Linked DNA regions of Rattus norvegicus. The protein of the gene in region 4 interacts with the protein of the main gene of each other region in a pairwise test. Links are inferred from orthologs where the notes say so. Each region holds a gene or a part of one and is shown on either strand. Other genes may lie near its edges.

Region 1 (4,201 bases), on a different chromosome or scaffold from region 4:
GGACCCTGAATGTCAGCCAGCATCGAGGAGCGTGTCACACTCATAACTCACGACACCCCTCGTTGGATATCACAGGCCCCATGAGCATCCTAATGGATAAATCTGAAAGGTTCCAAACTATCAAGCCACAACTCAATACCACACATGGAAAGTCTCATGCTGTGAGACCTTGTTTCCTACACAATACTATTTAAAACATTGTTTTAAATTGTCTTGAATAGTGCGTATGGGGTATATACAAGCACGGATGAGTGTTGTGTTTACATTTAGGTCCCATCTCCAAGATATAGCATACATATATGCAAATATTTCGAAATCTTCAAAAAGTCCCAAATCCTAAACACTTCTAGTCCTAAACTCATTAAGTAAGTGATATATAACCTACACTGGGTAATCAGGTTCTCGGACAGAGGGCAATTTTCCAATGCTGTGTAATATGTAGTCATGTAGTCATACATAATGGTGACAAGACCTCAAGTTGAGTCATCATACTGTGTGACATTGCCATTTGCATGTAACAGTGAAGCCACTGATTTTAGTATGGGTTTCCTTTTAGGGGTAAGGAGAATGCTGCCTATGGTGATAACCACATAATTCTGTGACTACAGAAAGCTGTTGAACTGTGTGTGGTAATGGGCAATCTGCGGTACATGAATTACATAACAATAAGCTTGTTTGCGAGGGGATGTCACTGTCCTCATCCAGGGAAGCTCTGGGCTGGAATTCTGGCCTTGTTCCTGTCAAACATCGAGAACGTGGCCACTTCTGATCAGGCCTATTTCGTTACAGATGGATAGACGCTTGTAATTTTAAGTTCTTGGGATTGCTAAAGAAAACTAGGTCCACAAGCTCCTGACTTCTCCCCAGTAGCCATTATCACCCCAAAATGAAGGTGACAGTGTCAGAGCATAGGTATGGGCTTCTATACAGAGCTCAGTACAGCTCAATATCACAACAGGACCCTAGAGCCGCATGGCCTGTGGTCATGACCGGCCATTCCCGGTGCCCACGATCAGTGGTTCTCATTCCCATTCCGTTTCTGGAATATTCCCTCTAGATAAAGTTACAGGATTAGGTTCTGGAAGGGGTTGTACACAGAGGAGCTAACAGTGGGCCCTGGAGAGGGGTTGGTGTTAGACCCAGTTGCTGAGTACAGAGCAGGAAGGACACCCTCAGATGGGATGAGGGGAGCCCTTTCTCTACTGACATTTCCTGTGTGAATCTCAGAACATTTGTGTACTCCCCGAATGGCTGATCTATACTGGACAAGGCATTCTCAGCTTTCTCTGAAAGCCAAGGGCAGGCTTTCCTCTCTCACCCATTGGTGCGAGCTGCCCACTTGTACCTGGACTTTTGCCGCCTGTGGCATTCCATGCTTCGTTCTCCTCTTTCTCACCCACCCAAGCTTCCTTCATTTCTCACACCCACACCCGGCATGCTTGCGTCCCTCCTTACCTCTCAGGGACCCTCTACTCCAGGCCAATGCCTATCAATGACAACTACTCACTAGAAGCTCCCACTCACTGCTGCACAGACACCATGCCGGGAGTCTGGTCATTAGTCACTTCTTACAGCTCTCTTGCTGGTTCTTGTGTGCTACCAAGATTAAGGCCACCGGCTTGGCCTCACTTGGATTACAGTAGAGGCTTCCTGGCTAGTCTTCTCATATTCCTCTTCAGTATCCTGCCCTCTCTGTGTACACAAAGACAAAGTCGCACCTTGTGTGTTTAGTTCAGGGACCAGCAAAATTACCGTCCACCTTCCTTGATGTTGAGAAGACTAAACAGAGAAGCTGTTGGTCCTTTGCCTCAGCATCTCCAGCCTTCTTCAGCTCAGCATCTCTAGTCTTCCTTTGGGTCAGCATCTGTAGCTAGCCCTATCTTGCCCTCTAACTCCTTCAGAGCACCCTGGCTTGAACTTAGCTCTCCAGACAAGAGACTCACTGCTCCCTGGAGACCCTCTGATGCCCTGTCTACAACTTCATCAGCCACCAAGGATGTCCACCTTTATCTCTGCCGACCTGTTTTCTATCTTATTAATGCCTGTCTTTAACCTGGGAGTCTTTACACAGCCCCCACAGCCATGCCAAAGAGAGAAGGAAAGGCAGACAGACTTGAGGACCACCCTCACCCACTGGAGTCTTCATTGTGAGCCAACAAGAAACGACAGACAGGGATGTTACAGAAACGCTACTCCCCAACTTGCTACATAGCACCCGTCCTAAAATGAAAAACTTTAAGGAATGAAGACTTACCTAGAATCCTCAAGTCCAGTGCCTTGTTCAGGATACGTGTCCCATTTGTGCTGTATACCGTTACATTATAGGTGCCACTGTCATCTCTTGTCAGATTCTTTATCTTCAAGTCTCCATTTGCTAAGATCTCAAATGCTCCCGATTTCAAAAAAGGCTTCATCTTCCTTTTAAACTCGGCAACCAGGGTGCTCCCCCTCTCCCATCGCACCTCATCAATATCATCAGTCATTTGAAAGTTAGGGATGTTCAGGTTGATGCCATGACCCAGGGCACCCCAGACGGTCCCACTGTCTCTGCAGTCTGCTCCTGTCAAAAAGTAAGATGGTTTCTGAGGTCTTGGGACTACCGAGAATCTCCCTCTTTGCCTCTCAGGTCCACTCTGAGGTCTCCAGAGGAGCTCCACACCCATGCTTACCTTTGCTGGACAGGCTGAAGAGCAGAAAGAAACTCCCTAGGAATTTACATCTCATCTTTACAATTCTTTTCCCAGTGGTGGCTCTGAGTTCTTCTTTCTGCCAGGGCTGTGGTGAGGCTGGCAGAAGCCACACCCAACACTCTGAACCACATGCCTCTCATGCTTGCCGTTCACAGTAGGGAAGAAAACACACCCACAGCCCCTAGCAGACCCGTGCATTTGCTGCCCTCCTTAGCTGAAACAGGAGCCTGTGCCACATTTTAATCTTTACAAAACAGTTTAGGGTGTTGGGTTTTAGCACCTCACCAGAAGAAGAGGAACTGGGAGGGCAGTTGCCAGAGCTACCCTTTTGTAAACCAGGGCTTAAACAGCTGTCCACTCAGCTGTGCTGCCTTCAGCAGGATCAGGTAGACTCACTGGCAAATGTTCATAAGGGAATAGAATTCAGAAATGTATGTTTGGGAAGGATTAGGAGGTGTGGCCTTGTTGGAGGTGTGTCACTGGGCTTAGAGGGCTTTAAAGCCCTTGCGGTCCTGTTAGAGCTTGGCTCATGAGCGCTCTCTCTCTCTCTCTCTCTCTCTCTCTCTCTCTCTCCCTCCTCCTCCCCCTCCATCCCTCTCTTTCCCTCCCTCTCCCCCTCCCCCTCCTGATCTCTCTCCCTCCCCTTCCTGGTCTCTCTCCCTCCCCCTCCTGGTCTCTCTCCCTCCCCCTCCCCCTCCATCCCTCTCTTTCCCTCCCTCTCTCCCTCCCCCTCCTTGTCTCTCTCCCTCCCCCTCCTGGCCTCTCTCCCTCTCTCCCTTTCCCCCTCCCCCTCTCCTGCTGTGGATAGGAATGTAAGCTCCCAGCTACTGTCCCAGCACTATGCTTGCATGCCGCCATACTACCTGTCATGGTGGTCATGGAATTTTAAGACTCCAATAAATTCTCCTGTAAGTTGCCTTGGTCACGATGACTTGTCACAGCCATTGAAAAGTAACTGAGACACACACAGTTCCTGAAGAGGCCAGCAGAGGCCATGGGATCTCCTGGAATCGGAGTTACAGATGATTGTGAACTGCTGCCTTATGGATGCTGGGAATGGAACCTGGGTCCTCTGGAAGAGCAGCCAGTGCTCTTAAGTACCAAGCCATCTCTCTTGTCCTAAGACTATAAAATGGTAGTGAACAACCAAATCCAAAATATCCAGGATAATTAAGACTGTAGATGGCAATGGAGACGGAGAGACCAGGACAATCATAACTGGGAGAGAGAAAAAAAAGAACAGGGTTCGTGATCTGGGAGAGGTTCAAGGATGCAAGGACTAGTGTCCCTAAAAAGACAACAGAGAAGTCACATGGGCAAGAGATACAGTGAACATCCAGTATTTTGAGTCTTTAGAATTCACTGGGAAAAGATCTTCAAAATCATGATTTTTCCATTTCAGGTACTTACAACAGCCACAACAATGCATTACAGTTGAGTTAAAACATTAATTCCGGGGGCGGGGGGGACCCAAGTGTAATAAGACTTAACATAAAAGAATTTCTACTCTT
Region 2 (4,124 bases), on a different chromosome or scaffold from region 4:
CATTAGACATGTCTCCAAAATTCACCCAAAAATCAAAATACAGCCAGGCACTTAATTTTTGCACTGAGGGGCAGAGGCAGGAGGATCTAAGTTCCAGGGTAACTGGGTCACACAGCAAAACAAACAAACAAACAACAACAACAACAATATCACAAGGGGCTGGAGACAGGGCTCAGTGGTTGAGAGCACAGCTGCTCTTCTGGATGACCTGGGTTCAATTCCCAGCACCCACATGGTAGCTCACAAATGCCTATAACTCCAGTTCCAGGGGAACCAACACACTCACAGAGACATGCACGCAGGCAAAACACCAATGCACATGAAATAAAAATAAATCATTTAAAACAGAAGAAACAAACATCAAGGACTCAGATCCTCGGGGCCATCGTGCCCAGCCTGGTGACTCTGGGTCACGAGAGGGCTGGGGGAGCCTGCAGCACAGGGCCCTTCCTGAGAAGAGCTAGGGGTGGGGGTGGGGGTTCAGTGGCAGGAAGTGAGGCTGGAGCCCATTTCCTGCAGAGACTTCCTGAAAGGGTAGGAGGCAGAGGATGGCTTCTGTGAAAATGGGTGGTGGGAGGGTGGCCTTGGTGATCAGTGACAATGGTGTCCAGTCTGACCCTCAAATAAACAGTGAAAAAGAGGCACAGTCTGGCAGCCTGTGGCTAAGCTCCAGGGAGTTGGAGCCATGGTCATCCTTGGCTACAATGTGAGGTCAGCCTGGGCTACATGAGACCCTGTTTCAATAAAGGAACAAATAGAACAGTCAAACTCCTGAAGACAAGGCACAGCAAAGGCTCAGGGGCAAACATCACTAAACAAGAACAGGCGCACATACACAGCTCTTCTGGAGCTGTTATGGCCAGCACAGGCTAGTCTGGCTGTGAGGCAGCCATGGTAAGGTCCAGCCTACTACTGAGCTTTTGTCCCTCCTGCCCGGGCCCCAGCCACCTCCCAGGGTGCCCTTCCCCAGACTTTCTTTGCCCAATCCTGCTGAGCATGTCCCCTCCTGTGACTAGGCCCCTAATGGCCACCCTGGGCTGCCAGCCTGTTTCCACCCACCACAGCAGGGGCCGCTCTCTAATTACAGGGTGATCAGCACCAGTCTCCCTGGCTAGACAGAAGGTCAGTGTGGGCGCGGGCTCTCCTGCAGCAGGGAGGGGCAGTAAACACTTGCTGAACAGGCAGGGTGGAGATACCCAGCACAGGTGCATCCTGTCCAGAGCCACAGGTAAGTGTGGTGTAGGGACAGGCCGCCACCCCCAGATCTGCGCATGCAGTGGGATACAGAGGAATGGAAGGAATGGGGTTCATAGAGAAGTAATTAGTCCGTGCTCCAGCTGGGCAGGCCTCCCAAAACGAAGGAAAAAAAGCTCAGAGTGAAACGGGCCAGGGTGGACAGGGAGGGTGGAGCTGGGATAGTCACAGGCTTTTGAGTGGGGAGATACAGCTTTACACTGAGCACCTGCACCTGCAGGTGTTATGGCCACTGGCTCTGGGCTCCAGTCCCAGCACCTCCCATCAGAGGAGCAGTTTCAGGAAAGGAAATTCCTTCTCAGCCACCCTCCAGCCTCTCTGGGATCCAGCGTGTAGATGAGACGGCTGGAGGATCAAGCCTTGGGCTCCGAATTCAGAAACTTTCGGCTGGGACACTCCTGTACCAGCTGGGCCGCAGAGATATGGGAGTGTCTGTGCGTACCTGCGTGGAGAGGGTGTCCAGTCCTGGACACACCTGGCCATCCCTTCAGGGAGGCTCAGAGGCTGGGCGGGTGCTTTATGGTGGGAATAGACTGAAGGAGTCTCAGGGGCTCAGGGTACACCTAGTGGGGAGTGCTTACACAGCATGTGTTAGGCCCTGAGGTCCTGCACCACAAAACCCAGGGTCGCTCTGGAGTAAAGGCAGGATCAGGAGTTCAGTCATACGTGATTACAAAGGAAGTTCAAAAGCAGCCTGGGCTATATGAGATCTGCCTCCCGTCCTAACCCAAACATGGAGGTATACACGTGTCCTTTCCATACTCCACTGATTGAAGCAAGAGGATGAGTTTGAGGCTAGCCTGGATTACGTTAAGTTCAGATCAGAAAGCCTAACCAAAAAACAAAACCAAATATTCTACCATCAAGAACTGAGATGGGCATGTCCAGCTCTCCCAACTTGGGCCAACGCGCCCCTCGATAGAGCAGCAGGGAAACCTGGCCTCCTCTATTCCATCATGTCAGGTCCCACAACTGGGAAGGCCTGAGCCTGAACTAGGAGAAAAAATTTCCTTCCTCCCGAGCAGGACCTGCTATGTGTCCAAGGGAGAGAAACATCCCTCAATCTGGGTTGGACTTTCGGCCAAAGGCGTAGGCAGCTGAGGTCAGACACTTGATAAGCATCAAGTGGGCAATGGAACCCACGTGAGCCCTTAGGTCCGCCCACTTCCCGGAAACGCAGCAATCCTATCAAAAACGGTGACAAGCTCCGGAAGCGATCATAGTCCTTCCGGCCGCAAAAAACCTTGTCCATTCAAGAGATAAATCCGCAACGGTGGCGGACTGGGACCCTAGAGAGACACTGGTCACCTCCGGCCTCAGGTTTCCCCATCTCTCAGCAGCCCGAAGACCCTGAGCGCGCGCCCCGCCGCCTCGCGGCCCTCACCATCTTCCCTGCAGAGATAACTTCCGCCGCTGCACAGCCACTCGCACTCCCACCGGCAGTCTACCGCGCGCTCCAGCCTGAAAAAGACTGGCAGAAACTATAACCAATCAGCGAGTGACTAAATGGACCGATCCAATCGGAACGGGATAAGGCGGTGCCTACATAACGCGGCGGCGTATCGCGTCGTATTCCCACCGTGGGATTGAGGAGCGGCCGTAAAGCGTGACACCGGAGTGACGCAAAAGGCCGCGGTGCTCTTCATGCCCACTCATGGTGTATGTTGGGAAATGGCGCCTGCGCAGATGTGCACTCCTGACTGGTTCGGCGCCACACTGTGGGCGAAACTGGCTAATGCATGTGAATCGCGCTGGGCTGGGGAAACCCGCTTCATACCCTCTTCGCGCTCCTATCTTTCCGTCCTCGCCCTTATGGAGCTCTTTCTCTTTATCAATCCAAATATAATCCTTGAACGCGAACGTCAGGGCCAGCGTTCCCCGGCGACAGGAAACAAATCGCTGGAATTTTCGTGTTTTGAGATGGGTTCTTGTGGCAGCTGAAGCTGATCATGAACTCGCAATAGCCTGGTACGCAACTTCTTCAGTGCTGGCATGGCCGCTGTAGGCTACCAAGCCAGCACCTTGTTTTTTTGTTTTTGTTTTTGTTTTTTTTTAATCGTTATCATTTTGGGAAGAGGTTAGGGTTTCTCTGTGCAGCCCTAACCGGCCTGGAACACTCAGTGTTGACCAGGCTGGTCTCAAACTTCCTGAGATCTTGGTGCTGGGATTGCAGGTGTGTTTTAATCTGTCGTCTTGAGATACAAAGTTAGGTTCTCATGCTTGCCCAGTGTTAGGGTCCATGATTCGCCACCGAAGAATGATACCGTGGATTCAAATAGTATGTAAAGGCAATGAATGTTTTATTCTGCAGAAGTCCAGCATGCTGTGGTCTCCCATTACCAGAATAGACACCCAAGTGAACTTGGAAGTCTGATTTAAAGCACATTAGGGAATTCTGGGGTAGGTGACCTCTATGTTAATCTGTTGGGTCCATCTCTACAGACATTCCATTACTGGGGTGTGGGGGCTGGAAACTTACTGGGGAGGGCTGGAAACTGCTGCTGAGGAAGTCTGGAAACTGCTGTTGACCCAGCCATTGTCCTTGCCTCAGGCCAGGTGGCAGGGCAGCTTCTGAGGCCTGGACTTGCCTGGAATTGCCCAGTTCTTGGAAACTGATTTAGGCCTACTCTCCTTAACTGCCAGTTTGAAGTCTGTCATGGAATCAGTCTAGCCTTTTCACCAGTCAGCCTTTTTTACCCATGGATCCAACTCCCCTGCCCTTCTATTTATTTTTATTTCCTTTGGCTACTGGCGATGGAATCGGAGCTCTGCCCTGAGCTGTCCCGAGCAGGACAGCTGTTTTACCAAGCTTCTGGAAGGCCTGGTGCAGAATGTCAGTGATGAGCTCACTTGTACGGTTCCTCTGCCCC
Region 3 (4,205 bases), on a different chromosome or scaffold from region 4:
ACCAGCATTTCCATTGCTGGGTCTTATATAAGAAACAGCAGACCGGTTAACACAACACTTCAACAAAATAAAACAAAACGTGTTTCTTTGCATCACTCTTATCCCAGTAAAGATTTTCAAAGTAACTCTGAGAAAAACACGTGATATGAAAATGAATGCAACATCAGGAAGACCTTAAATCCAATACAGATTAAGAAAAAAAAAAACAAGCCTTTGCAATTTGTCAATAGAAAGAAAATAATAAAAGTTTAAAGGAAATTTTTATTGAATATTAAAACCCAGGCTATTCCGAAAGTTCTCCTTTACCAGCATATTAGAATCGGGGTCCTGGAGTTGAAGACTGGGCATGACTGGCTTCAGGAATTTGAACTCGTTTGTCCCAGTACTTCCTGTCAAACACACCTCATACTGGTAGTTCTGGGACAGGGTTCCAGTGCCGGTAACGTCCACCAGGTGGCCAGGAAAGTGGCCCTCGGGCACAGAGCAGCCACCCAGAGAAGCTGCCCTGGCCTTCTTGCACAGCCTCACCCCCACGAACAGCAGCACAGACAAGAGGAAGAGAGAAGACACAGATGCCAAGGCTATGACCAGGTACAGTGTTAGAGTGTCCTCGTCGTGTGCAGGATTGTGCGCCACCTCTGGCAGAGGCAGGTAGGGCTGAGAGAAGCCATCTACCACTAGCACGTGCAACATAACACTGGCAGAGCGCGGAGGATCTCCATTGTCCTTGACCATCAGCAGCAGTTTGTGCTTGGGTGCATCGCGCTCGCTCAGCAGCCTGGAGGTGCGTACCTCGCCATTGTGCGCCCACACGCTGAACAGCCCCGGCTCCGTGGCTTTGAGCAGCTGGAATGACAGCCAGGCATTCTGGCCAGAGTCGCGGTCCACAGCTACCACCTTGGTAACCAGGTATCCAGGCTCTGCCGCCCTGGGCAGCAGCTCTGTGTAGGGCGCTGAGGCATTCTGCAGCGGGTAGAGCACGAAGGGCGCATTGTCATTGTCGTCCAGCACCACCACGCGCACCAGAGCCTGGCTGCTGAGCGCGGGTGAGCCTCTGTCTGTGGCACCCACGCGGAACTCGAAGGCCTGCAGCACCTCATAGTCCAGCGCCCTGAGTGCGAACAGCTGCCCGTTGTCAGCATTGATGGAGATGAGGGAGTCGAGGGCCAGCTGTGGGTCTCGAGGCGGCATCAGCGAGTAGGTGATGTGGGCATTGGAGCCTGAGTCTGAGTCTGTGGCACTGATGGTGCCTATGTGCAGGGCGGGGCTGTTGTTCTCGTGGACAAACATGGTGTAGGAGGTTTGGGTGAAGGCGGGGGCGTTGTCGTTGATGTCAGACACCTGCACTGTTATGGTGTGCTGGGTTGTGAGCCTGGGTGTGCCCAGATCTGAGACAGTGATGGTGATGTTGTACTCAGCTCTACTTTCTCTGTCCAGTGCTTTTTCAGAAAGTAGAGTGAAAAAATTCTTGAAGGTGGGCTTTAGAATAAATGGAAGGTCATCCGGAATAGAGCAAAGGATCCTTCCATTGTCTCCAGAGTCTTGATCTCGGACACTGAACAGAGTGATCAGGGTCTCTGAAGCATTCTCTGGAATTGTCTTTGTAACCGATGATATGATCACTTCTGGTGCATTGTCATTTATATCTAATACTTTAACTGAAAGAGTGCATTTTGCTGAAAGACCTCCACCATCTGTTGCTTGGATAGTTACAGAATAGGACTGTATTACTTCAAAATCCAGCAGTGATCTCAAATTGACTTCCCCAGATGTTGGGTTGATTTCAAAGGTTTTTCTAACATCTTCTGTTGCATGCAAAAATGAATATGATATTTTCCCATAATTTCCCATATCTAAATCTTTAGCAGAGATAGTAATAATACTGGAGCCAATGGGTGTGTCCTCTGGGACCTGCACCTCATAGAAATTCTGAGCAAACTCAGGAGCATTATCGTTGATGTCCAAGACTTTTATGAGAACTAATGTTGTCCCAGACCTGGGTGGAGACCCGCCATCCAATGCTGTAAGTGTCAATCTAAGCTCAGATTCTTCCTCATGATCTAAAGCTTTGTCCAGTACCAGCTCTGGATATATCTTTCCATCACCACTCTCATGAATTTTAACATAGAAATGAGAACTGGGGCTAATGCTGTAGTCCTGGAGACTGTTGCTTCCTATGTCCAGATCTTGTGCATTCTCAATTAAAAATGTGGCTCCGATAGCAGCGCTTTCTGGTATTTTAATAGTTATTTCCTTGTCTAGGAATGTAGGGGCGTGATCATTTATGTCTCTGACATGCAGCTCAGCTCGATAGAACTGTAAAGGGTCTTCCAGTACCACCTGAAAGGGCAGCACACAGGGCTCGGTGGAGCCACACAGCTCTTCACGGTCCAGTCGCTCACTCAGGAGCACATCTCCGGTCAGCAAATTAAGGAGTAAATGCTTTTTATTATCGTCTGACACTATCCTGGCCTCCCTGGAGGACAGCTCCGCAACCCCCAGCCCTAAATCCCTTGCCAGATTAGCCACAAAAGAGCCAATTTCTGTTTCCTCTGCTACAGAATAGCGCAAAGACTCAGCACTCGCCCGAGACAATCCCAGCAAAACAAAGAAAACCAAGACTTGCCGTTTCTGCAGGATGATAGTCTTTCTGTTTCCCATGGTTCCTTCAGGTGACTTCTTCTACTCCAAAATTTAAATTCAATCCCAAATTTGGGAGACAAAGGTCCGATATTTCTATTGAAAATCCCTTGTCAGCTCCGTCGGTGAAGCTCCTGTAATACGTCCCTTCTCACTGAATTGGTCCTTCGGATAGTGGAACCCACAGGGCGGGCTACGCACTGTTTGATCTTATCCTACAGCGCCACCATGTGTCTCTGTGAATTTTGTCATTTAATATTTTTCTCCTAAAATTTTATGTCTATCTAGAATTTTCAAAAGCAATTTTCACATAGTTTATATTTATCTCTAAATATCCAGGTGTTATTTATAATTAGCAACGCCTTTAAAATATAACTGCAAATCATTACCACAATACACATGTAGAAATACTTCTTGGATATAGCTTATAACTCAGTCTGTTTGAGCTTTCTTCCTTTTCTATAAAATGTCTGGTGTTGTTGGTTTGTTTGAAATAGTATCCAAACACAGTCCATTCTCTGTATGAAATCATTAGTGCTTTGAATGTTCAACTCAAAAAAGATACAATAAAGTGCTCCAAAATAAATAAAAATATTTATTTCAAGACAATTACTTAGTAGTTACAAATATTTACCTCATCAACTCTGGTAAATATTTGTTGGGGTGGAGTTCATTATTTAATTATTACTCCACTACTTTTTACACTTACACACACATACACACACGAATAAGGAAAAATACAAAACATACTACTTTTTTGTTAATAGAGAACTTATGACAAGGTAATATTAGATTCTTGCTTTTACATTGAAAACACAGTAAGGTTTGGTGGTGCACACTTTCAATCCCAACACTTGAGAGGCAGAAGTAGGGGGATCCGTAAGAGTTTAAGGTAAGCATGGTCTACACAGTTAGCTCTATGTTAGTGAGAGTTATGTAGGGAGACACTGTCTGAAAAGACATATACACATATGCATACAAACATGTCTTTATGTGCATATTGGAAGATATGACACTGTAAGATGATCCTTTTAAGAACTTTTCAGGGAATAAGAATTCATTAGCTAGTAATTAAAGATGTAACAGTGCATAGGTAAAGAGTAACAGAAACGTCTTGAAGAGACACGTAACTGTGATCTAGGAGGTGGACAATGTTTAGGAACACTGAATTGTGGTTCTGCCACTCACTCTCTATAGGCCTGGACAAATTAGATACCTTTGTCTCCTTATCTATAAGTAGAATGCTGATAGTCTTGTCTCCAAGGGTTTTTGTCGTAGAAACTAATGAGTTGACATTTGCAAAGTAACCAGAAGGAAATTAACTAAATGTCTGATAAGAGAAAACAATTGAACTATGTGGCAGTACCTTAGTAATGGTGTGAGTCCTGGTTCAGTCTCTAGCTTCAAAATAAAATTAAATAAAACAATCAAAACATAGGCGCCAAATTTCATTTATATTGAATATGTACGACTTTCCATTGTTACTAGGTATTAGGTATTAGCAATCCAGGAATAATTTAAATTATATGAGTAGGCGGGTATAGTTCATGGACAAGTGCTACTCT
Region 4 (4,080 bases):
TTGTGGGGCCTGTTGAAATCTTGGGGTAGGGCTGGGGAGATAGCTAGTAGGTAAAGCACTTTGCACGTGAGTAGACTCATGTCTGAATCCAAGAACCCACATAAAATCAGGGGCAGCTCATGTCTATGATCCCAGAGCACCCAAAGCAAAACTGGAGTGAGAGGCAGGAGAACTCTTGGAAGCTCAAGCAGCAGACGGATGGCCACCTGCTCACAGCAGCAAACAGGAGACCCTGTCTCGAAACAGGCGAAAGGGAGTCTAACACCAGGGGCCACCCTCTGATCTACACACAGCATGGCACACATAAATGCTTACACACGCTCCCCGCCTCCTCACCCCCACATGGCTTTAGGGTATCTCCTGTAAGTACATGATCTCTGGAGATAGCTCCTAGTAACGGTTTCTTTAATTCCCAGGACCCCTTTACTTCCCTCCTTCTTATGAATGGATGTTAGAAATACAGCTGGTTCCTACCTGTGCTCAGGAAAGGCAAAAGTTGCCAGATAAACCGTGTGTACTGAGATTGCATACGTCCACCCGGCTCAGAGGTTTAACAGTTCACAACATTAGCTGGGTTTAATTCCTTTGGTAAAATGGTGGGTCACCCTACAGTTTTAGAGGATAAGACGCCCCCTTCTGGCCTCCACAGGCACTGCATGCACATGGTGCACAGACAATACAGGCAGGCAAAATACCCAAACACATAAAATAAAAATAAATAAGAGAGAGAGAGAGAGAGAGAGAGAGAGAGAGAGAGAGAGAGAGACTGGCTATCCTTTTTCCTTTTCTTTTCTTTCTCCTTAACTATGCCCACTGCCTTGGTCTCTCCCTGTCATTTGAGACAACCTCTTACCATGCAGACAAACTTACTTTATGTCAACTTACTCTGGCCCTCTTCTCTCTGCCTGGGCTGAGATTGCAGGCATTTGCCACCACTCTAGGCCTAAGACTATTTTCACAGAGTATAGTGCCAGGCTGCAGGATTCCAGGGCAGTGTGAAAGGTTGCCACTATCTACTTCCTCCTTGTCCCTTGCTCTGCCTTCCCTGGGAAGTGTCTCCTAGCCAAGGCCTAGGGAGCCAGGCGCGGTGAGACAGTGCCAGGATGCCAGGACACCTGCGGCAGCTCACAGGCAGAGCAAGTACAGGGCATGGTGTGACACTACCCAGGAAGCAGCCCCCGGGGAGCTGGGTCCTGCTGCTGCTGCTGCTGCTGCTGCTGCTGCTGCTGCTGCTGCTGCTGCTGCTGCTGCCACACCCTGATGTCTTATATGTCATCCTTCTGCCTGGCCTCTGCCACTGGGCTGCTGCTTTTCTAGGCTTTGATCTGGGGAAGTTGAACCCAGACGTTGGGATTTGGATAGAAATACTAGGGATAAAATGGGTCAGGGTGTCTGGCCTTCCTGGGTTGCAGGGCTCTAAATCAGAGTGGCAGTTGGATTCTGGCTATCACCAATGAGAATGAGTGAGATGGTGAATGAGATGGCCAACAACACTGCCTTCATCTGCAGCTCTGGACTGGTCCTACACTCTTTGTAAAAATGGGGAAACTGAGGCCCAGACAGGCACAAGATGCCCTCCCTCTCCAGGCAAGGCCCTCTGTCCTCTGTGAAATCAGTTTCAAGGGAGGAAGTCCATCACATACTCTTCTAGCACGGACCCCAAGCAGAGCTAGCCACAAAGGAAGGGAGGGTGGCTTACTAACCCTCATCCTCCCGGCTTTGGCCCCAGGTGAGGCTGGGGCAGAACCACATGAGTAAGAGGTCCTAAGAGTTCCCCGTGGTGTGGAAGCATTATCTTCAGGAGAAACACATCTCCAGCTTTAACCGAAAGGTCTCAACTTGTCTCCAAGAGCCACAAGGGACAGTCAGGAGTGGAGGAGTCAGGGGGAAGCTGGAGGCAAAGTGGAAAACAAGAAACCTGGGCAAACCTTGTGGTCTCCACTGCTCTTGCCCACCAGGTTCCCATATTTCATGGGCAAAAAGATTTGATTTACACCTGCACTGAATTGGAAAAGTCAGGCAGGAAGCTACCTAGCCCACCCTCCTTCAAGTGCCTGAGGCATGCAGAGATCAGAGGCTGGGTCAGAGAAGGAGGCTTAACACTGGTAAGACACCAGGACTTTCCTGCATTCGACCACCTTCAGTTCAAATATCTGAACTTATCTCCATTACACAGATGTAGAAACTGAGGCCCAAAGAGAAACAGCAACCGACCTAGCCCTTACAAAGCTGAAACCCAAACCCAACCAAAGCTGGCCTGGTGCCATGGCTGCTGACTTCTCCCTTGTCACATTCCTCCCTATGTATCCTCCTCAAATCCTCCATTAGGCTGTCCTGGTGAGCTCTGCCGCTGTCCCAGAGGAGAATCAGCCTGTGAGTACAGGGGTCGGCTCTCTGTTGTCAGTGGGGGTAATGCCTGTGAGAGAAATTCATTATCTCAGGGCCCATCTTTTGCCTTTCCCGTCAGTAGAGACTGTGGCCCAGGTCACCTCCATGATAATTAGGACCAAAGGCAAGGCACAATTTTTATGGGAAAACTGTACCCCATGTCAGTCTCCAAGGTGATTCCCGCCTGGCTGGACCTGTTCCGCAAGCTCACCGCCCCAAGTCGATTCCACTCACCCAGAAGGCATCGCGGAACTGCAGCTGGGCGGTCATCGTCTTGTCTGTTGTGTCAAATGCTAGCACTCCTGCTTCAAACAGGGCTGAATGCGGGCCAGGAGCCAGGAGCAAGTCCCAGTTCTAGCGCGGCTAGACCAAGCTCTCCCTCCCACTTCCAGTCGGCGCCGTCTGAAACGCTCAGAAGGCAGCCACAAGTCAGAGGCAACTGCCGGAGGGAGGAAAAAGGCTCAACCTGTTTTGTTTGGGGCTAGAATCAGCAGCGAAATGAGGAAGGAGCCCTGCCCAGTGATGGATGGGTGGGCCACGATTTCCAGCCTGGCTCTCGCCAGCCCCGTGATGGAAGAGGACGCAGGCTGAGGCCCAGGGCAGGCAGCCCAGGTGGCGGGCAGAGGCTGGGAGAGAGGCAGGATGTGCACAGGCCAGGCAGGCAAGCAGCCTGAGGCCTGCACAGGAAGATTTGTGCAACATCCCCCCAGGGCAGGCGCAGGACTCTAACCCACAGGAAGTTGAGCTGCTGCGTTTCTTCTGCACAGCCCTGCCTGCCACCTGCCACTCTGCTGCCTGCTCATATCCTGGCCCAGTTTAGCTTTAGAACTGTCAAGTTAGGAATCCCGTGGCTGTTACCCTCACAGGCCCCAAGAGGTTAGGTTTTTGGGGTCTCACCCGAGTCAAAGACATCCACCATTCATTCCAACCTTAGCAGTTCATGCCCTAGACTAGGTCCCAACCCTCAAGTAGCTCACAGCATGGGGCAGACTCAGCCCTGGTCCAGGGGCTATGAGAGCGGAAAGGTGGGGTGAGCAGGTAACCAGCTAAGGACCTCAGCCTGACGAGGCATGGGTCCTGGTCCCCGTGCAAATCTTCACCCATCCCTCTTCAGTTCACAACTGTGATAGTGATAGACGGAGGGAGACAGGAGTCTGGAGACTCGTTCAGCTTTTGTTTAATTTGGACTCCGCCCTTCAATAGTGGAAGGACCTTGATTGACCTAACTCAGAGCCTCAGCCTCCCCACCGTCGTGCACCTCCCCCCCACCCCCACCCCCGCCCACGGTCTTTGGGAAAGTTTTTCATATCAAGAATGCTTCTGGAATTTCTCTTTGTAGGGCAAGCAGGTCTGGGGAACACTATCCAGAGTCAGGATTTGTCCACTCAGCAGAGGCTTCTGGGAGTCCTGAGCCCCGGGTGGGCTGGTGAAAAGAATGAGTCAGGGATTGTCCACAAATCACCACCCTCGCCGAGGCTTACCTTAGGACCAACTGGGTTGATCAGACAGCTGAGCTCCCAAGTGTGGGTTACGTGCCAGGGCTGAAAGAGAGACACACCCAGACTTCCTTAAACAACCCCCAAGAAGAAACACAGCAGGCCTGGTGCTGGAAGCCTTTCTCTCTAGAATCCCAGGGCTTGAGCTCAAAGGGCTATGAGCATCTTTTAAAAAGAGATTTATTTCTAATTTTTA
Region 5 (4,238 bases), on a different chromosome or scaffold from region 4:
TCTGTCTAGAGTGGAAGAAATCACAGATGCTGGAGAAATGAATTCCTATTAACTTATCCTATGTGTACATAAAGCAGAAGCTCATATTCTAGTGTGGTTAGTGTGGACGTCTCAGTGACCCTCTTATGCATTCAAATAGCATCTCTTTCAACCCTACTCATTAGCATCTAGGCCCTTCTAGGCCAAGCAGAGCTTATGCTGTGCCTTACATGAGTGAAGATTTGTAGCACAAAAAAGGAAGAGGAGGAGGAGGAGGAGGAGGAGGAGGAGGAGGAGGAGGAGGAGGAGGAGGAGGGGTTGGGGATTTAGCTCAGTGGTAGAGTGCTTGCCTAGGAAGAGCAAGGCCCTGGGTTCGGTCCCCAGCGGTCCCCAGCTCCGAAAAAAAGAACGAAAAAAAAAAAAAAAAAAAAAAAAGCAGCAGCAACAGCCACCCAGGGTCACATAGGGAGGGGGGCCAAGTTCAGTGTTCTGCTCTCCTAGCCTTTGTTTGCAGGTATGCTATTCCCTAGTTTTCAAAAATTAATTTCTGGGACTTGGAGAGGTGGCTCAGCAGTTATGAGCCTTGGATACCCAGAAGGCACAAGTTCTATTCCCAGCACCCACATAGTGACTCACAACCATCTATAACTCCAGTTCCGGGGTATCTGACAGCTTTGGGCACCAGGGATGCATATGATATGCAGACACTCACATAGGTGAAACATACGGCACATGCCTTTAATTCTAGCACTAGGGCGCAGAGGCAGTTGGATCTCAGAGTTCCAGACCAGCCTAGGACTGTGTACTGAGATCCTGTCTCAAAATAAATACATTATTTTTTAAGTGAATTTTTGGATTCAACATCAGTGTGCTTTTGGCCTTACTCATTAAGTCTATCTGTTGTAGTTCTGGTCATAAAGTCCTAGAGGGACCAGAGCCACAAAGGCACTGATGCCTGGAGGCATGATTCAATGCAGAGAGGACAGCTTAGTAGCTACCCTCACGAATAAGGACACTTGAAGAGGGTCCCCAGGTAGGGATCCCGCAGTCGGCCTGTGGGCAAGGGCTAACGGTTTGGAAGGCTGAATGAAGGCCTCAGGTATCCTGGAGCAGGTCAGACTGCGAAGCTTCGGGCGACAGAGGTTCGAAAACCCGGGACTACACCCTGGCGCACCACAGTGGAGTGCAGGGAATCACCCTGTCGTGGTCGGCCCTGGAGTGGAGCAGATGAAGACTACTCCGAGAACCAGCTCGGACCCAGCCCCGGGGCTGTTCCCCTCTCTAGCGCACGCGCCATTGCCTCCCGGTGCCTCCCGCCCCCTGGAAACCCTCCAGCATCGCGGCTAGCGTCATTTGCCAGTGAGACGGGAGCGGAGGGTACTGGACCAATGGGCGTCGGCGACAGTGCGGGGTGTGGTTGCCAGGGGCGGGGCCCGACCTCCTCCATCCTCTCCAGCCGGGCGGCGGCGTCTTGGGGTCTGGACGCTGATGCCACCGGTCGGGCGGGTATGGAGGCGGCGCGCTGCGCACCGGGATCCCGCGGGGACAGGTCAGGCGGCGGAGAGACGGGCAGGGGTCTCCAGGGGGGGCGGGCAAGAGCGGAGGCCAGGCTCTTGTACCCAGGCTGGGCAGGGGCTATGCACACCCTGTGTCTCCAGAGCTCTCTTGTCGCTCTCCTGGAGTTTACCCCGAACCAGCTCGCCCTTCACCCCTAGGGCCTCGGAATCTCTGACTTGCAGTGCGCTGTGCTTCCTGCGCCGCAAGCTCTCTCGAGCCGCTCCCCTGGAGTTTACCCCGGACGAGCTCTCCATGCTCCCCTAGGGTCTCGATTCCCTCACTTGCAATGCGTTCTCCCGTCTCTGTCTCTCTCGACTTGGATCAGAACTGAGCTGGAAGGAGGGCACTCCTGGGAGTCGAAGCGGAAGGTCGAGGGTGATGGTTAATTGGTTCCAAGGCCGTTGCTTTTGGCAGTCATTGCGGAATTCTGGAACGAGTCCGAGGACTGAAAATGCAAAACTGTTCTTTTCTTCTTTCTTTCTTCCCCTGAGTTCCAGGAGTTCTTTCAGTGAGGCCTGTCTTAGTTTAGACTGTTCCATACTCTCGTTAGTGCCCCCGATTTCTCTACCAAGACCCCTCTTTTTTCCTGGTTCACAGAGTGAGCTTGGGAAAGCAAACGGGCTGCAATCCCAGCCTCCTCATTTCTCGTCAGCTAGGCTAACGAAAAGTTAATGGGGGGCCCTGTGAAATCACTGTCTCAAAACTTCAGCATTGTGTGAGGATTGAAACCAAACACGCCAACTGCATTCTTCCTTTACCCTTCCGTTACCACAGCAGATAAAGACTTGGCGTAAGGATTTAGTCTGACGTTTAAACGAGTTTTTAACTGGCCCGAAACCATCTTTTAAGAAGTTACAATAGAGACCCGTGCTCTCCATCGGTGTCATACAAGACTAAGCTTCCCTCAAACTTGACAATAAGGCTGACTTTGAACATTTGTTTCCTACCTCTGCTTCCCAAGGCTGACCTATTTTCATCTTTCATCAAGTAAATTCTATAAACTTGATAGCTGCTCGCCGAAATTTGTTTTCAACTCCCCCTCCATTTTGGGAACAGAAAATACATTTGCAAGTATTAGGCCGGGTTAGCAAAGTTAGTATTCAGCATGTCCGGGTGAAATCAGATGATATCTCGTTCAGCTGAGGGATTTCATTTTTAACTAAACGATTTTAGAGAAGTCAATTCCATAGGAATGTAATTTTTATTTTGAGGTAGGTCTTATGTAGCAGGACTGAAACTCGATATTTAAACCAGGCCAGCTTCGAACTCACACAGATCCATCTGTCTCTGCCTTCCATGACTCACGATTTTAGGGAACAGGAACTTGACTTTGAGATTGGGACCAGCTGGCAGGTTTTGTTTTGTTTTGTTTTTTTTTATTTTATTTTATTTTTCATCTCCTGAACTTGAAGCTTAAAGGAATAATTTTAAGCACCTCCCCCATTCTTCCAAAGAAAAGAAACCGACTCTAATTTCTAGTTGATTGACACGTTAGGAGCCAGTGCGAGGCCCTAGTTTCTCCTGCCCTAGGTAGAGCATGAAGCTCTGTCACTGTTTAACTCGTTTGTTGCTAAAAGCCAGTGAATGTCTCCCTTTTTAGGCTGTCCTTAATAGTTTTTTGAGAGAGACTGAGACTGACTTGGTTGAATGTCAGTATAATCCGGTAATCCAGGCTAGCCTCAAACTCAAAATCCCCCCTGCCTGAGCCTCCCAAGTGTCTTATATAGGCATGCATCACCAAGCCTGGACGTACTTGTGTACTAGGTTCTCTCTCTCTCTCTCTCTCCCCCTCTGTCCCTCTCTCCCTCACTCCCTTCCCACCCCTCTCAGGTTTGAAATTTTCTTTACATCCTTACCAAAATTTCCCCTTCCCCCTCTCCTCCCAGTATCCTCCTCCCTTCCCACCCCCCCACCCCCCATCTACTCCTCTTCTCTTTCTCTTCAAGAAAGGGCAAGCCTACCCATAGATATCAGCCAGTCATGGCATATCAGGTTGCATTAAGACTAGGCACCTCCTCTTCTATTAAGGCTGGAGGAGGCCATCCAATAGGAGGAAAGAATCCCCAAATGAGGTAACAGAGTTAGAACCAGCCCCTGCTCCCACTTTAGGAGTCTTATAAGAAGACTATGCTACACAATTGTAACATATGTGCAGAGAGCCTAGGTCAGTCCCATGCATGCTCCCTGGTTGGCGGTTCAGTCTCTGTGAGCGCCTGTGAACCTCAGTTAGTTGATTCTGTAGGTTTTCTTGTGGTGTCTTTGACCCCTCTGGCTTCTTCAATCCTCCTTCTCTTCCACAGGATTCCCTAAGCTCCACCTAATGTTTAGCTGTGGGTCTCTGTATCTGTTTTCATCAGTTGCTAGGTGAAGCCTCTCTGATGATGGCTACATTAGGCTCCTGTCTGCAAGCATAGCAAACAGGATATCATTAACAGTGTCAGGGGTGATCTCTCTCTTACGGCATGGGTCTCAAGCTGGACCAGTCACCGCTTGCCCATTTCCTCTTCCTCTGCTCTGTCTTTACCCCTGTACATCCTACAGGCAGGACAGATTGTATGTAGGTTGAAGGGTTTGTGGCTGGGTTGCTGTCTCCATCCCTCCACTGGAAATCTTGTCTCGGTTTGGGCTCCACATCCCCATTGTTAGGAGTTTTAGCTAGGGTCACCCTCACAGATTCCTGGGAGTTTCCATTGCATGAGATT

What was found. The genes of interacting proteins can lie anywhere in the genome.
Region 1: the proteins of Pstpip1 (region 4) and Cd2 interact in a two-hybrid assay, tested with the Homo sapiens proteins (2 studies listed by BioGRID and IntAct). The link is inferred for Rattus norvegicus from reciprocal best matches to the Homo sapiens genes PSTPIP1 and CD2.
Region 2: the proteins of Pstpip1 (region 4) and Lsm4 interact in binary tests that used the Homo sapiens proteins (3 or more experiments, as listed by UniProt). The two-hybrid records come from large-scale screens. The link is inferred for Rattus norvegicus from reciprocal best matches to the Homo sapiens genes PSTPIP1 and LSM4.
Region 3: the proteins of Pstpip1 (region 4) and Pcdhb20 interact in binary tests that used the Homo sapiens proteins (3 or more experiments, as listed by UniProt). The two-hybrid records come from large-scale screens. The link is inferred for Rattus norvegicus from reciprocal best matches to the Homo sapiens genes PSTPIP1 and PCDHB14.
Region 5: the proteins of Pstpip1 (region 4) and Tulp3 interact in binary tests that used the Homo sapiens proteins (3 or more experiments, as listed by UniProt). The two-hybrid records come from large-scale screens. The link is inferred for Rattus norvegicus from reciprocal best matches to the Homo sapiens genes PSTPIP1 and TULP3.

What each region holds. Positions count from the first base shown.
Region 1 is NC_086020.1:191,409,860-191,414,060, forward strand, and holds the start of Cd2 (T-cell surface antigen CD2 precursor), read right to left. Parts: upstream 2,801-4,201; 5' UTR 2,725-2,800; coding exon 2,670-2,724; intron 2,561-2,669; coding exon 2,255-2,560; intron 1-2,254. UniProt on the Homo sapiens protein: CD2 interacts with lymphocyte function-associated antigen CD58 (LFA-3) and CD48/BCM1 to mediate adhesion between T-cells and other cell types. CD2 is implicated in the triggering of T-cells, the cytoplasmic domain is implicated in the signaling function.
Region 2 is NC_086034.1:18,792,057-18,796,180, forward strand, and holds the start of Lsm4 (U6 snRNA-associated Sm-like protein LSm4), read right to left. Parts: upstream 2,801-4,124; 5' UTR 2,726-2,800; coding exon of another isoform or gene 2,642-2,725; coding exon 2,639-2,641; intron 1-2,638. UniProt on the Homo sapiens protein: Plays a role in pre-mRNA splicing as component of the U4/U6-U5 tri-snRNP complex that is involved in spliceosome assembly, and as component of the precatalytic spliceosome (spliceosome B complex).
Region 3 is NC_086036.1:29,484,483-29,488,687, reverse strand, and holds the start of Pcdhb20 (protocadherin beta-14 precursor), read right to left. Parts: upstream 2,801-4,205; 5' UTR 2,662-2,800; coding exon 262-2,661; 3' UTR 1-261. UniProt on the Homo sapiens protein: Potential calcium-dependent cell-adhesion protein. May be involved in the establishment and maintenance of specific neuronal connections in the brain.
Region 4 is NC_086026.1:65,394,348-65,398,427, reverse strand, and holds the start of Pstpip1 (proline-serine-threonine phosphatase-interacting protein 1), read right to left. Parts: upstream 2,801-4,080; 5' UTR 2,659-2,800; coding exon 2,623-2,658; intron 695-2,622; exon of another isoform or gene 1-694. UniProt on the Homo sapiens protein: Involved in regulation of the actin cytoskeleton. May regulate WAS actin-bundling activity. Bridges the interaction between ABL1 and PTPN18 leading to ABL1 dephosphorylation.
Region 5 is NC_086022.1:163,315,455-163,319,692, reverse strand, and holds the start of Tulp3 (tubby-related protein 3), read left to right. Parts: upstream 1-1,438; 5' UTR 1,439-1,487; coding exon 1,488-1,528; intron 1,529-4,238. UniProt on the Homo sapiens protein: Negative regulator of the Shh signaling transduction pathway: recruited to primary cilia via association with the IFT complex A (IFT-A) and is required for recruitment of G protein-coupled receptor GPR161 to cilia, a promoter of PKA-dependent basal repression machinery in Shh signaling.